Sus scrofa: one gene and its partners. Each later gene encodes a partner of the first gene's protein in a complex. Links are inferred from orthologs where the notes say so. Each region holds a gene or a part of one and is shown on either strand. Other genes may lie near its edges.

Region 1 (5,848 bases):
ACGCCACAGCCACAGCCACGCCAGATCCCAGGCGCCTCTGCAACCTACACCACAGCTCGCGGCAACAGCAGATCCTTAACCCAGAGCAAGGCCAGGGATCAAACCCGCATCCTCATGGATGCCAGTCGGGTTCCTAACCCACTGAGCCACGATGGGAACTCCCAGGTCTCACTTCTCATGGTGACGTCCTACTGCACATTCAGAACTTCCAGAAGAGCCGCCCAACAGCTGTGCTCTAAGTCCTCGTCTAAGGATTCAACTGCCCAAGTTGCACCCTCTGCCTCTTACCATGAGGTCTTCATCTCGGTCTGGGGACAGCACCAGAGGGATGATGACCTGGTTACGGAACAGCGGTGTCTTTTCATGCTTCAAGACTTTGTTCAGAGTGTTTAACTGTCCGGAAAGCAAGGCAAAGCTGTCCAGGACAGACGGCCTGGTGGTGGTAAGAAGGTGTCAGAACGTGCTCAGGAAAGTAGCCTCAAAGGGGTCTTTCAGATCCGGAATACCCAGACCCACCCCCAAAAGACTCACAGCCCTCTGGCTGCTCTGGATGGGAATCAGACTGGCTACAGCGATTATGGGGTTAAGAAAGAGGGACATACTTTCACTTTCTGACACAGATGGGAGAAAGAAGGCAGGGCATTACAACAGCAACCCCCAATCTGCAGTTTCACTTGCTGAGGTTCCATCTACCTGTGGTCAACCACAGTCCAAAAATACCATATGGCAAATTCCAGAGGTAAACAGTTTATAATTTTATTTTATTTTATTTTTGTCTTTTTGCTATTTCTTTGGGCCGCTCCCGCGGCATATGGAGCTTCCCAGGCTAGGGGTCCAATCGGAGCTGTAGCCACCGGCCATCACCAGAGCCACAGCAACTCGGGATCTGAGCCGCGTCTGCAACCTACACCACAGCTCACGGCAACGCCGGATCGTTAACCCACGGAGCAAGGGCAGGGACCGAACCCACAACCTCATGGTTCCTAGTCGGATTCGTTATCCACTGCGCCACGACGGGAACTCCATTTATAATTTTAAATTGGGCACTGTTCTGAGTAGTGTGATGGATTCTGGCTTCATCCTGCTCTGTCCCAGCTGGGATGTTAATCATTGCTTTGCCCAGCCTATCTTTGCTGGTACAATACCCATCCAGTTAGTAGTATATGCAGTACAGGGTTTGATACTATCAGTTTGAGGCACCCAGTGGGGGTCTTAAAACTTATCCCCCACCAATAAAGGGGGGCTGCTGTATTTGACTGGGGTGAGAACAGCGGCAAAACAGGAACCATAGCTCCACTGTTATCACTCAAACTTCAGAAACTAGCTAAAAGCCTCCTTTCCGACCTAAATATAGGATCTACATTTTCAAAGTAGACTGGACCTAAAAGACTCAGCCACGTCCAAGGCAAGAGATCCCATATGAATACTGAAGTGGGAGGACCTCCTCCCAGAGACATCAGAGGGTGAGAATCAAAAGCTAGAAAGACCCTGAGTTGGAAAACTGGGCATTTCTCTGCTTCCTTACCAGGGAGGCCCAAAGCCAACTTCAGTGTTACACGTTGGGAAACTCAGCTCTTTTTAAATCAAAAGATGTTTGCAAACTGATAAATGTTTACATCACTGGCAATGTCCTATCCACCTGGTGACCTGGCCCCCCCCACCCATGGAGCCCTCCCCAGCTTGCCCTGGCATTGCTTACCAGGTCAGCCGGTCATACTCGTTCTCCAACTTGTAAATGAAACTCCCCAGTGAGTTCTTCAGATCAGCCACTTGACTCAGGAGTGCATCTAATGATGCCTCAAGCTGCTTCTCCTCCCTCTGCACCAACAGGAATAGGATGTTACTCAGATGAGGGTGAGGGTGGTGCCCACAGAGGCGGGCTGAAAAGCCAGGATGACAGTGCGCAACACCAGTCATGTGACACAGGATCTCACTGGCACAGGGAGAGCCAGGCTGTTTTCTATCTTTGGTATCAGGGTTATAGACAGCACCAACCCTCAGACCTTTCAACCCACTCGCCTGGCCTAATTCCTCCTACCTGCTGGTTCCTTTCTCTCATCACCCCTAATCCGTGCTTGGTTTCCTATCACATACACTATACTCTCACTCACTGAGCAGACACAGCAGACCTAATGCCTCGGGGTCATTATCTCTTGTGCCACTCTGCAGCATAGGTACTCTGACTTCTGCTGTCCTAAACCTGCCTTGGGAGCCTGGCTGTTCCTGCCAATGACACAATTTCTGAAAAATCTACCTACATGTGAAGGTTCCTTTGAACACCTGCCACTGCCACCACCACGGCCATTTCCCCCTTTCCTCTGTCCTCAGCATTTGCTGTTTCAAGCTCTTTGCTGAATTAACCGGCACTCTTTTTTTTTTTTTTTTTTTTTTTTGGTCTTTTTGCCTTTTCTAGGGCTGCTCCTGTGGCATATGGAGGTTCCCAGGCTAGGGGTCTAATAGGAGCTGTAGCCACTGGCCTGCGCCAGAGCCACAGCAACGCCAGATCCGAGACTCATCTGCAACCTACACCACAGCTCATGGCAACGCCGGATCCTTAACCCACTGAGCGAGGCCAGGAATCGAACTCGCAATCTCATGGTTCCTAGTTGGATTCGTTAACCACTGAGCCACGACAGGAACTCCATTAACCTGCACTCATTTTATCTCTGTGCCAAAATTCCTGTGCCCCTTTCACAAGCTTAGTCAAGCTATAAAAATTTACTGACAGACTACCAGGTGCAAGAAACTGACAAATGAAAAACAAAAACAAAAATGCACATGCCCCTAAGTACTAAACTATTTTAAATGCTGGTGAGGGGTTGTCTGCCAAGCATTTCCTGTCCATCTTGGTTCTTCATCTTTACTTCATTTCATCCTTAACTACCACAGGGCACAGGCTAGGAAGGAGGTAGAACTGCCTTGCGAACTCGCCAATATACAAGACAGTAGCCTTGATTCCGGGTTCCAGCCACTGGCCTCAGACTATATTAGTTTGGCTTTTGTCACTGCGGCCCCACAATTCCTTCCACTCTCGGGCTTCTCTCCAGTTATCGATCCTCTGCTGTGTCGGCAGCCAACAGCGGCCATTCAACAGCCCGGGCCGGGACCTGAGCCAATGCGGCACCTTCTTGAGCTGTCTTCGTTGGACTGCATCTTAACCTTCCCAAACGACCGACCCTTTCCCACCCCCAGCAAGTCGGTGCCGCCTTCCCCCTCCCAACTCAGGGGCCGTCTCGGTCTCCCAGCCGGGCTCCACCCCCATCTGTCATCAGTGCCGCTCCCTCTCCAGTGGGCCTCGCCTCCATCCCGCGTCCCTTTAGCCGTCGGCCGATGACTCTACCCACTCCTCTCAGCTCCAGCTCCTCACTTTCTCCAGCCCACTCTCCGTCCCGGTACCCCGACGCTGAGTAGCGGTCACGAGCGCCAACCCGGTCCTCACCTGCATCGCGGGAGCAGAGGTTGCGTCAACCACTTCCTTTTCCGGTTTCCAAGTCAGCCAATCAGAAAGTTGGGATTCGATCCTCCCATTCGTTTCCGGTTCCTTCGGGCGAGAGGCAGCCGGGTCAGGGGTCACGAGCAGAAGGGCTTCTCTGGCCCGGGCCGGCGCGGGAGGGCTGTGTGATGGCCTCGGAGCGCCCGGAGCCGGAGGTGAGGGGCGGGCGGGCGCAGCGCTGGTCCCCGAGATCCGCGGGGGAGGGGCCGGCGGCCGGGTGCGGCCGTGGCCTCCTCCGGGTCTGGGGGCGGCGGGGGTCGCCCCGAAGGCCCGGCAGTTGCATCTCCTCACCCCGCGGTCCGCACTTTCCTTGGGGGGCTGGAGGAGAAGCTCGTCGCTCTGTTCTGTTTGCTCAGATTTCATTCACGTCGCCAACTCTGGGGCCCTCGGGTTCTCCGACTTCCTAATGGTATTAACAAAGCCTTTATTTTGATTTTGCAATTTGATTTTACTTTGCTGGTGCTTCATATCTTCACGTATTAGAATGACATAATCAGCATGAATTAATTTAGTTCCAGCGCCATGATTTTGAAAGGCAGCTTCGGTTTCGTGGGGAAAATACATATATAGATTCTTTTTTGATTCGGAGTGAAACGTCGTTCACTTCGTTTGGTGCTGCCCTGTAGCCATCTCTGCAACTTCGGGCAAGGCTTGACTGTTTCCTGCTTCTTAAACACCTGTCTTAGGGTGTTTTGTGAGGATCCCATATTTTAAACCAGAAAATGCACATGAGGTATCCCTTAGTTGTTGAGGACCATGCAAGGAACTTGATCTGCATTGTGTTATTCAGACTTGTGCAAGGAAGGTGGCTGTGTCCACTTTCATTTATATGTAAGACACTGGAAAGTGAGAGACGTTAAGTACCTTACCCAAGTGCTACCCTCAGCCAGGGAGTAGCAAAGTTTTGAAGTTAGAAGATCTGGTTTGAAAAGAACATCACCAGGAAAGGTGCCCAGTATTAGAATATGATAGACGGGAAGGGTGAGAGACGTGTGAAATGAAATGACACAAAAGAGTTGTCATAACATATCGAATGCGTGCCGCGTCGTCCTGCTTTACCCCATCAGTTGATACCCTCAACCCGAAGAAGCAGACGTGATTATTTATCCCCATTTTTCAGTTGAGGAGACGGAGGCACAAAATGTTAAGGGTAACAAAGTTACACAGCTAGTTAAGTAGCGGAGCTAAGACTCCCAAACAGGTGGTCTGCTGTAGTATGGTGGTCATAATGTTTCCAGTATAAGCAGTACAGTTGCCACAGGATGGTAAATCTCCTGATCCTTGGCATGTGATGTAACAAGACCCAGGATTAAACGTGGTTGTAGGAAACTACCCTATTTAAAAGAATCAATGGCGGAGTAGCCTATGCATCAGAAATAGCAGTAATAAGAAAAATCCATGAAGGAATGTGGAGTATGTTTTGTTATGGATTAAAATGAGAGGACATGGAGCGATGTCGTAGTGAAATACAGCATACCTTTTAGACATAATCTAAAACAGCATTGTCTAATAGCAGTCTGGTGCAAGCCAAATATATGTGAGTTTTCTGGTAGCCACATTTAGAAAGGTAAAAAGAAACAGGTAAAAGTAATTTTAATATATTTGATTTGACCCCATATTCCCCCAGTGTCATCATTTTTCAAAACATTTAAAAACACATGAGATATTTAACATTCTTTTTTTTGTACCAAGTCTTTAAAACCCGGAGTGTATTTTATACTTAGAGCGTATCTCACTTTGGACTTGCAACATTTCAAGTGCTGGGTAACCTCGTATGGCAGTGGGTACCATATTGAGCACTGCAAACCTAAAGTAACTTGGCATCAAAACATATACTCCTGGAAGTCTCACTCGGTCTGAAATTCATTTGTCAAGTTCTTGATTTGCATTTCTGAAAATTTTATCTCAGAAGCTAAAGGGACTAAAGAGTTCTGCCCTAGGCAGTGACTGATTGTTAGAAGTTATTACAACCCCAAGAGAGAAAGTTTGGGCGTAGTCAGATTTAAGAAGTCATTCATTCCTCACATACTTAAATTATTTTATGTATGCTGCTCTGGGCTCAGAATTGTGCTAAGTATCAGGGTGGATTCAGAGCAGGGTAAGACACATTCCCTATTTAATGGAATGAATGAACAATGAATTATGATAATAAGTGCCTCGAAGAAAGAGTACAGAGTGAACCGAGTGTTTAACAGGGGTTCTTAACCTACTTTTGTTAAGTGGTGGGGGTGGATCAGAGAGCCTTCTCTGAGGAATGACGTTTAAGCCTGAAGAAGGAGCAGGAGGTGTCCTTGAGAAGAGGCCGAGCGCATTACAGGCAAAGGGAATAGTGAGGATCCTGAAGCGGGGAGCTTA
Region 2 (4,855 bases), on another chromosome or scaffold:
TATACTCACGTGAAAACTTTGCACAGGGGAGTAAATCATAGAGTCAAGGTCTTTAAAATGTTCACAACAAAAACAATGATTACTAGAAGACTAAATGTAAGAATACATCAAATATTTAGCAGACTGTAAGAAACCAAGTAAATTTTTCATGATCACTTTTCTTTTTTTGAAATAGTTGGAAAGATCCAAATAATGACTTCAGGAAAAAGTTGAAATTAACCGCAGTGCCTACACTACTTAAATATGGAACAGTGAGTATCTTTCTTTAACTGTGCTGGGGATACAATTCACCCTATCAACTCTTTTAACTTGTTCTGGATTCAAATTTGAAAAGACCTTGACATTTCATCCCAAATATCATATTGCTCTTTAGCATGGATTCATAGCACAAAAGCTGTCTATCCCTATGGCCAGTCCCAATAAATTATTAATAATGCAAATATTAGCTCTTTCAGTGCTTTCTTAAAAGCCATTCTTTTTTGTTTGTTTGGCTGGGGTTTTGTTTTTGTTTTTGCATTTTAGTGCTGCACCTGTGGCATATGGGAAGCTCCCAGGCTGGGGATCGAAACGGAGCTACAGCTGCCAGCCACAGCCATGCCAGATCCAAGTCACATTGGATTTCTACACCACAGCTCACAGCAATGCCAGATCCTTAACCAACTGAATGAGGCCAGGGATCGAACCTACATCCTCATGGATCCTAGTCAGGTTTGTTAACCGCTGAGCCACGAAGGGAACTCCCAAGCCATTCTTATTTTTAAATTCGGTAGGCACTGCTGAACAAAGTTGGTTAACATATAATCCCTTAAAAGAGTGCCATCAATGTTGCTTTCTCTTTAATCCATAATTCTTGATGAAAGGGCACCTCTAGTTAAGTCATGACCCTGGAATTCTGAATTGAAGAATTAAGGGAAAGGGGGGACACTGGGCTTGCTGTCTCCTGTTTTAGTCCAGGGAGCCAAGAATTTTAATGATTTACCTTAAAGCAAATACCTTAACTATTTCATAAAATGTGTTACAACTAGTTGATAATTTCTGTTCCAAGATCTGTGTCATTCAAGGCAGAACTCATTCCCCTCCTAATAACATTTTTGTAGTGATGGGTTAAAATAAGACTGTTCTTCTTTTACAGCCTCAAAAACTGGTAGAATCTGAGTGTCTTCAGACCAACCTCGTGGAGATGTTGTTCTCTGAAGAGTAAGATTTGATGATGGCAATTGTGTCTTGATTTCCTGATTTGCTCTAGTATAAAAGAAACTGCACACTTGCTTTGAATTCATGTTAGCAATAAATAAATGATGATTAAAAGAAAAACTGTGTATGTCTAAATAATAGAGAGTACAATTAAAATGCTCATGAACCCTTAGTCTGCTTTAATATATGGATATGTTTGAACTAAGGATAAACTAAGTCTTCAGGAGTAGCAGTAGTAGCCCAAAGGGGAGGATATTATTGGAGATGGGCAGAAATATCTAAAAGCCGCTGATAGTGAAGAAGATAGTTTCCAGACTTCTAAAGAAGTTAGGATCTTTTACTTTAAATTCCATGAACTTACAAAAGAACTGTTATCCTAAAACATCTTTGGCTTTAGAATGTAGAACTTAATCTAACCACTGAAGGATAGCAAGGCACATCTAATCCAGCCCCTGCTTTTGTTTTACAGCTGTCTGATTGTGCGGGATGAGGCAGGTGGCGGAGAGGTCAGAAGCCATACAACCTAGTGGTGGGAGGCCATATAACCTAGCCTTTTAGCCAGTCTCACTGACTATCACCTACTAGCTGTGTAACCACAGGCAAGGTTCCTAACTTGTCTACACCTAAGTGTTCTCCTTTATGAACAAGGACTGTTCTAAGGATAAAATGAGAATGCAACTAAGCACTTAACATAGTGCCTGGTTTGTGGTATCTGCCAAAAAAAAAAAGTTAGCTTTCCCAAATGAGCACAAGTATCTGAGGCACCTCACCTTTGTTATAGTCTAAGGTCGAGAGTCCTATTAGTAATTAACCACAAACACTCCCTGACCTCAATTCTCCCTTAAGGCTCTCCTGCAAAGTAGCTGGTGCTCCAGGTATGCCTCCTGCCCTGCAGAATGTAGGAAATTTATGCAGTTCCTGCTTTGATGTGTAGAGGTCACTGATTCCACTTCTCTCACTCCTTAGAAGGGTGCCGTAGCTGATCTGAGGGGACAGCAAGGTTCCTAGAGACAGATTTGCCCCTGGTCCCACTGTTCATCATGAACAGTTTTGCTTAAACTTTGGGATATTTGGTGGCTCTCCCCTTGCCCCAGCTCCCCAACTCTAAAATTGGTCTGAAGCACCTAACATTTCTACTCTTAGTCAGTTGACTATTAAATACTAATGAAAGCTTACAGATCCACAGAGAAAGAACAATTCTAGTTTAAAAGAAATAATCTATTGAGAATAAAAAATTAGTTCAATTAAATAGCACACTATCGGTTCTGGGTGCTGTCACAATAAAGGTTCGGAGCAAGAGTCTTTTTCTGTCTTCATGTACAAAAGCAATATATACATGTCGTAAGAGCCTGGTCTGGATCAGCTTTTCACTTTCCTGATGTGTTATTTTGCTGTTGCTGCTCTGCCAGGGCTTGCTGAAGGCGCATCCGCTTCCGGGAATAGTGCTGCCAATGCAGAATTTGCTGCTCATCAATGAATTTTGCACATTGAGCATTCACCAGCTCCTTGCGGAAGTGTTCATATTGGAGCAGTTCTAACATGTGTAAACACTGAGGGTACCTGGGGTTAAGTTTATAAGTTAATTATCAACATAATTAAGTCAATAACACCATGCTCTAGTTGTTATTCAAAAACGATCCTGCAGCCTACCATTTCTACGGTATCATTTGTGTTACCATACCAGATGATCCTGCAACCTAACATTAACTTAGTCTATCTTGATAGTACAGTTCTTTTTTTTTTTTTTTTGCTTATACAGAAAAGCTTATCATCAAAAGCCAGCAAAATTTTCAAAAGTGAGCAAACTTAAATTTAGAAAGATTAAATAACTTGCCTAAGACTACACAATAACTGGTAAACAGTCAACATTTGGGGGCAAATCATGCTATTCTATTCCAGTGGTTTTCAAGGTGATAAACATGAACACTATTTATTTTAGTAATTGTGGGTTTAATTAACACCTATTGGTTTTCCATAAATAATGATAAAAAGACAGCTTTTATTTTAAAAGTGAGTCAGTTTCAGAAAGAACTATGCACAAATATTGTATCCTAGTTTTCCATAGGGATATAACAATTTTGAAATTATGTACATATATGCTAAGATTGAGCAAATACATAAGTATGTACACTGTAAATAGCCAAATATCCAGCTCTCAGGAAAGGAATCTCAGATAAGGAAGGGGGGAGGCTAGAAAGAATCCTGTTGTTGAGCTGGAATTGAAAACATCAGTATGAACTGAGTGGCTTTTAACATATAGAGACAGATACAGAAATAGACACATAGACACACACACACACACACACACACACACACACACACACACACACACACACACTGTTCCTTGCTTTACGTGCAGAGAAGGCCTAGAAGCAATGGCACTCCAGTACCAAGAGTACACTGAGTATCCAGGTCGTGGGTTTTAAATAGCATTATCCAGGGTTTGTTGGCATAGCTAACACAGGGAAAGAACAAGATGAGCCTGGAATATATGTAGTGCCAGAAAGGAAAATGCTCTAAAGATTAGGCGGCTATGTCAAAAGTCCTCAAGAGCCAATTTGAAGGGGTTCCCACTGGCTACATCTGGGATCACTAGCATAAGAAAATAAAAAATTACAATCCACAAGATAAAGAATCCATATTGATTTAACCTTTTAAAATGAAGAAAGAAATCAGAAACAAGGAAACGTTCCTTCAAGTGAATTCCAACTAATAAATGAACAGAGAATGATGGAATCAAGAATATCACCACAGGAGGTCCCGTTGTGGCACAGTGGCTAACAAATCCGACTAGGAACCATGAGGTTGCGGGTTTGATCCCTGGCCTCGCTCAGTGGGTTAAGGATCCGGTGTTGCCAGGGGGGTGAGCTGTAGTGTAGGTCGCAGACACAGCTCGGATCCCGCGTTGCTGTGGCTGTGGTGTAGGTCGAGGCTACAGCTCCAATTAGACCCCTAGCCTGGGAACCTCCATATGCTGCAGGTATGGGTGTGAAAAGACAAAAAAAGAAAAAAAAAAGGCATCACCACAGAGGAGTTCCCATCGTGGCTCAATGGTTAACGAACCCAACTAGCATCCATGAGGACTCAGATTCGACCCCCGGCCTCACTCAATGGGTTAAGGATCCAGTGTTGCCATGAGCTGTAGTGTAGGTTGTAGACACAGCTTGGATCCCATGTTGCTGTGGCTGTGGTGTGGGCTGGTGGCTATAACTCCAATTTGACCCTGAGCCTGGGAACCTCCATATGCCGTGGGTGCGGCCCTAAAAAGACAAAAAACAAAGCATGTCACCACAGTAAAAACTGTCTCAAGCAAGTAAGTATCTTCAGTAAATGCTAAAGTTAGTGGGTAAAAGAATGAAATATGAAACAAGAAATTCCTACAGACTCAAAGTATTTCCTCACAAGATACATATTAAATACAAAAGGAAAAATAGTACTTGATATGGATAAAAATAACAGCCACCACCTCAACCAAGTGATCAAAATTAATATCACCAGTCATAGAATGAAGTGACTGCCTGTGACTCCTGACATACCAAGAAGGATATAACATCATTTCTGTGTCACTTATGGAGGGGAAAAAAAAAAGAAGACTTAAAACTCATATTAATGGAGACTAAGAAGACATGACAACAAAATGCAGCATCTGAGCCTAGACTGG
Region 3 (5,066 bases), on another chromosome or scaffold:
TCAACCTCTCTGTTCAGTAGTTTTCTCATTTGTAATGAAGAAATGATTATGCTGTGTCTTATAGGGCTGATGCAAGTTAATTCATCTAAAGGCTTTGGGCACTGCCTGGCTCATAGTTGGTGCTTGGTAATTATTACCTACCACTTAAAGTAGAAGCCAGTTGCACTCTCCATAGAAGGAAATCTTGGAAATAACTTTTTATCTCATTGTTTTGGCTAAATTCTTGTTGCCTCTCACTCTCAAAGATTAGAAACTTGAGGCTTGCTTTCTCTTTGATCCAAGGATCCTTAGAACTTTCTTCATTGATGAAAATGTTCTATGTCACTGTCCGGTACACCAGTTCCTAGCCACTTGTGGCTATTGAGCTATTGAAATGTGGGCAGTGCAACTGAAGAGTTGAAGTTTTCATTTCTGTCGCACATGGCTTGTGGCTCCTGTGCTGGACAGCTTTCGTTCAAAGTGTTAGAGAGTTAGTAAAAACACAGTAACCCCAAATGGAGGCTTTCTCCTTGATGGAGTCAGAACTGAAAGAAACACAGAGTAAATTCCTTTCTCATCACATGACTTAGTGTCACTGAATGCTCGCTCTGTGTGCCACCTAAAACATTGGCACACATGCCACACTTGGGAAATGCAGGTGCAGTAGGCTGTTCTCTGCAAATGTGTGAGACTCCTAAGACCAAGCTCTGGTTCTTAGCAGAGCCCCAGGGACTGTGGGCCTCTATTTCCTTGTCTTTATGAGGGGGTTGGGTTGACGGTGTCTAAGCTGACACCTGGCCCTGATGAGCTGTGATCCTGCGACTGGCTCACGTGAGTCCATGTGCATAATGATTTTGGTCCCCTCCCTTCCAGTGTGTCCCAGATGCCTGTGGCCGAGGGCAAGAGTGTCCAGCAGACTGTGGAGCTACTCACCCGGAAATTGGAGATGCTTGGGGCAGAGAAGCAAGGAACATTTTGTGTGGACTGTGAGACCTACCACACTGCTGCCTCTACCCTTGGCAGCCAAGGTCAGTGAGCGATGGATCTCTGGGATGGCTGGAACCTGGCTTGGACTTAACAGACGTTCACATTCATTCATTGAAGTCTTTCTGTTCTTCTGCTAAGGGTGGTATTCTTGGGCATGTGGCCAATGTGTTTCTGAATTCATTAGTTTTTTGTTTGTTTTGTTTTTCATTTCTTTTTCTGGCCGTACCTGTGGCATGTGGAAGTTCCTGGATTAGGGGTCAGTTGGAGCTGTAGCTCCTGGCCTACGCCGCAGCTTGCAGCAATGCCAGATTCTTTAACCCACTGATCAAGGCCAGGGATCAAACTCACATCCTCATGGATACTAGTTGGGTTCTTAACCCACTGAGCCACAAGAACTCCAGAATTCATTGATTTTTTTTTTTTTTTTTTGTCTTTTTGTCTTTTTTGTTGTTGTTGCTATTTCTTGGGCCGCTCCCGCGGCATATGGAGGTTCCCAGGCTAGGGGTTGAATCGGAGCTGTAGCCACCGGCCTACGCCAGAGCCACAGCAACGCGGGATCCAAGCCGCGTCTGCAACCTACACCACAGCTCACGGCAACGCCGGATCGTTAACCCACTGAGAAAGGGCAGGGACTGAACCTGCAACCTCATGGTTCCTAGTCGGATTCGTTAACCACTGCGCCACGACGGGAACTCCAGAATTCATTAATTTTTGACTTTATTTCTTAGACTGGGCCTATGTTGAAGTCTTTTTTTTTTTTTTTTTTTTTGGTCTTTTGTATTTTTAGGGCCTCACCCACAGCATATGCAGGTTCCCAGGCTAGGGGTTGAATCAGAGCTGTAGCTGCCAGCCTACACCACAGCCACAGCAACATGGGACCACATCTGTGACCTACACCACAGCTTATGGCAATGCCAGATCCTTAACCCACTGAGCAAGGCCAGGGATTGAACCTGCGTCCTCATGGATACTAGTTGGGTTCATTAACCACTGAGCCATGACAGGAACTCCATGTTGAAGTCTTTTTGCACTTTGCAGTTTTTTTTCTTCTTTTTAGCACCACACCTGCTGCATATGGAAGGTCCCAGACTAGGGGTCGAATCTTTTGCGGCAAGAATCAAAAAGAGATAACAGTTGTGAAAGCATTTGTAAAACAAGACACTTGTGTGTAGATAGAGGATGACATGCTACTTCTGTGAAATTCCCTGGCCTGGGTTCTGTTTTCTGATCAGAGCTTTACTTTCAAGGAGCTACAGTCTAGTAGGGGGAACCATACACTCTTTGGCAGGCAGTGGGCTAGGATGGAAGTAGGTCAGAAGGCCTGGAGTTCCGGTTCCGCTGCTGACTGGCTCTGCGCCTTTAGATGTGCAGTTCTCGCACTGACTGGTGATAGCATCCCCTGGAGAGGAGGAAGGTGGGATGGAGGGAGGGCTCTGATAACACCCTGATCCATGGGCCCCACCCCTAGAGTTTCTGACCCCGGAGGTGTAGGGTGGGGTGGATGTGCATTTCTAACCAGTTCCCAGGCGGTGGTGCTGCTGCTGGTCTGCGACCAAAAACCTTAGTTGCCTTTCAGAATATTTTCGGGGCAGTAAAAGCACCTGCAGACTCTCATAGTATGAATTAGTGTATAATCACAGTGAGTATGCTCAGGAGCAAAATGACCCATCAGCTTTGGGTGTCTTTGTGTGAGGGTTGAAAAGTTTTGAATTGGATTTAGCATGTGAAAGGTGTGAATTTGCAGCAGGTGTCAGGAGGGTGCAGGGGGAGGTGAGTGTAGAGCCTATCGGGTTCAGGAAGTGGCAGCCAGTAGAGGCCTGCATAGAGATCACAAGCCCCCACCTGTCTCCTCACTCTTATCCCCACCTGAACCCTACTCTGTCTTTATAGCCTGGTTTAGGTCCTCTATTTCCCATGAATGTTTTTCCTGCTGACTCTTGCCCACTTTAACCTCTCCCTTCCCTGAAGTCTTTCCTTCTTTCTGAAAGACCTCTGGTTACCCCAGACAAGCGACTTTTGTTTTATTGTCTTTTTTTTTTTTTTAGGCCAAACCCGCGGCATATGGAAATTCCCAGGCTAGGGGTCCAAACAGAGTTGCAGCTGCTGGCCTACACCACAGCCAGAGCAACTCGGGATCGGAGCCACTTCTGCAACCTACACCACAGCTCAGCTCACGGCAGTGCCAGATCCTTAACCCACTGAGTGAGGCCAGGGATCGAACCCCCATCCTTACGGATACTAGTTGGGTTCCTTACTGCTGAGCCACAATGAGAACTCCTGTTTTGTTGTCTTTTAAGAAGTTTCTTGCTTGTCTTTAGTGAGGTTGCCAGCTTCTTGAGGCCAGGGGCTATGTCCTCTGTTTGTATGACTCTTAAGCCCTAGCATAAAGTTGGGGATAGTTTAAATATTTAATAAGTATTTGGGGGAGTTCCCGTCGTGGCGCAGTGGTTAACGAATCCGACTAGGAACCATGAGGTTGTGGGTTCGATCCCTGCCCTTGCTCAGTGGGTTAACGATCCGGCGTTGCCGTGAGCTGTGGTGTAGGTTGCAGACACGGCTCGGATCCAGCGTTGCTGTGGCTCTGGCGTAGGCCGGTGGCTACAGCTCCGATTCAACCCCTAGTCTGGGAACCTCCATATGCCGCGGGAGCGGCCCAAGAAATAGCAACAATAACAACAACAACAACAACAAAGACAAAAGACAAAAAAAAAAAAGTATTTGGGATTGTGGCAGTCAGTCCATTAACCCTTTTTAAATTTTTTTTATTTTTTATTTTTTTTAGTAGCCATCTACAGAAGTTCCTGGGCCAGGGATTGAATCAGAGCCTCAGCTGTGACAAGCTGCTGCAGTGCTGGATCCTTAACCCACTGCACCGGGCTAGGGATCGAACTGTGCCTCTACAGCAACTTGAGCCACTGCAGTCGGATTCTTAACCCACTGCGCCACAGCAGGAATTCCAGTCCAATCATTCTAATAGTGAAAGAACCTTGCTTTCTGTTTTTTGCCTTCTTCCATTTTCCACTTAACTAGATAGATACAGCTTTTCTTCCTTCTTGCAGGAAACTGTGGTACTCAGCAAGAAGTCATTTCTCAGAGACTAGAACAGGCAAGCTGGGATTTGAAACTGGATCTTCTGATTCTAGATCCTGAGTTCTTTCTGCTGTAGTTGTGCTGCTGGCTTCCATAGTCAGCTCATAGGTGGCTTACTCTTCTCTGAGGGCTCACCATTGCCTTTGGGATGAAGACTGACTTGGGCAGGAAGGCAAGGCTCTGGCCTCATGCTCAGATGCTCCCCTTTGCTGCTGCTTTGGGGCCACTTCCTGTGTTTTAAAGAGGGAGGAGGCCAAGGAAAGTTAGGGATAGATGGGAACGAGAGTAGCTGCTTTGTTTGGTATGCTCAAATGCTGTTACTTTTATTTTCCTTATTATGTGATATATGACTACACAAAAGTCCATATGTAAAATCTCTGTGAGTTATTAGTCATCAGTAATCATTCATTTGTGAGCCCATCACCAAGAATTAAATTGTGATCTGGAGTTCCTGATGTGGCCAAGGGGGTTAAGCACCCGAACAGTCTCTGTGAGGATGCAGGTTTGATTCCTGACCTTGCTCAGTGGGTTAAGGGTTTGGTGTTGCTGCAAGTTGTGGTGTAGGTCTCAGACGCTTCAGAGTCTGCATGGCTGTGGCTCTGGTGTAGGCTGGCAGCTGCAGCTCTGATTTGACCCTTCGCCTGGGAATGTTCGTTTAAAAAGAAAAAAATGAAGCTGTTAATTAACTCTGTTGAAGTTCCGTGTGTGCCCTTCACCTTTCTCGGGGGGAGGAGGGTTAGGGTGATTTCCACCTGCCCCCTCACCTGCTGGTTCTCTCACTTCCTCTGGAAAAGGCTGTTGGGGCGGGGCTTCCACCCCGGGACTGCTGAGGTGATGCTGGCTTGCCCCTTGGCCTCATTCCAGCATCAGACACTCTTCCCCGTCTGCAGGCGAAGCTCTTGACACTGCCCTGCTCTCCATCCCTTGCAGGTCAGGCGGGGAAGCTGATGTATGTGATGCACAATTCTGAGCACCCTTTGAGCTGCTTCGCCCTCTTTGAGAACGGCCCC

What was found. Proteins that work in one complex are often made in the same cells at the same time.
Region 2: MED8 (region 1) and MED31 share a complex: the UniProt entries of both Homo sapiens proteins name them as parts of the mediator complex. The link is inferred for Sus scrofa from reciprocal best matches to the Homo sapiens genes MED8 and MED31.
Region 3: MED8 (region 1) and MED20 share a complex: the UniProt entries of both Homo sapiens proteins name them as parts of the mediator complex. The link is inferred for Sus scrofa from reciprocal best matches to the Homo sapiens genes MED8 and MED20.

Annotation. Positions count from the first base shown.
Region 1 is NC_010448.4:167,858,991-167,864,838, reverse strand, and holds the start of MED8 (mediator of RNA polymerase II transcription subunit 8), read right to left. Parts: upstream 3,477-5,848; 5' UTR 3,446-3,476; coding exon 3,368-3,445; exon of another isoform or gene 3,306-3,367; coding exon of another isoform or gene 3,300-3,305; intron 1,819-3,299; coding exon 1,700-1,818; intron 434-1,699; coding exon 289-433; intron 1-288. Other genes in the region: protein SZT2, read left to right, coding at 3,622-3,648. UniProt on the Homo sapiens protein: Component of the Mediator complex, a coactivator involved in the regulated transcription of nearly all RNA polymerase II-dependent genes.
Region 2 is NC_010454.4:50,731,128-50,735,982, reverse strand, and holds the end of MED31 (mediator of RNA polymerase II transcription subunit 31), read right to left. Parts: intron 2,755-4,855; coding exon 2,562-2,754; 3' UTR 1,514-2,561; downstream 1-1,513. Other genes in the region: TXNDC17 (thioredoxin domain-containing protein 17), read left to right, coding at 176-251, 1,133-1,201. UniProt on the Homo sapiens protein: Component of the Mediator complex, a coactivator involved in the regulated transcription of nearly all RNA polymerase II-dependent genes.
Region 3 is NC_010449.5:37,066,638-37,071,703, reverse strand, and holds part of MED20 (mediator of RNA polymerase II transcription subunit 20), read left to right. Parts: intron 1-852; coding exon 853-1,007; intron 1,008-4,986; coding exon 4,987-5,066. UniProt on the Homo sapiens protein: Component of the Mediator complex, a coactivator involved in the regulated transcription of nearly all RNA polymerase II-dependent genes.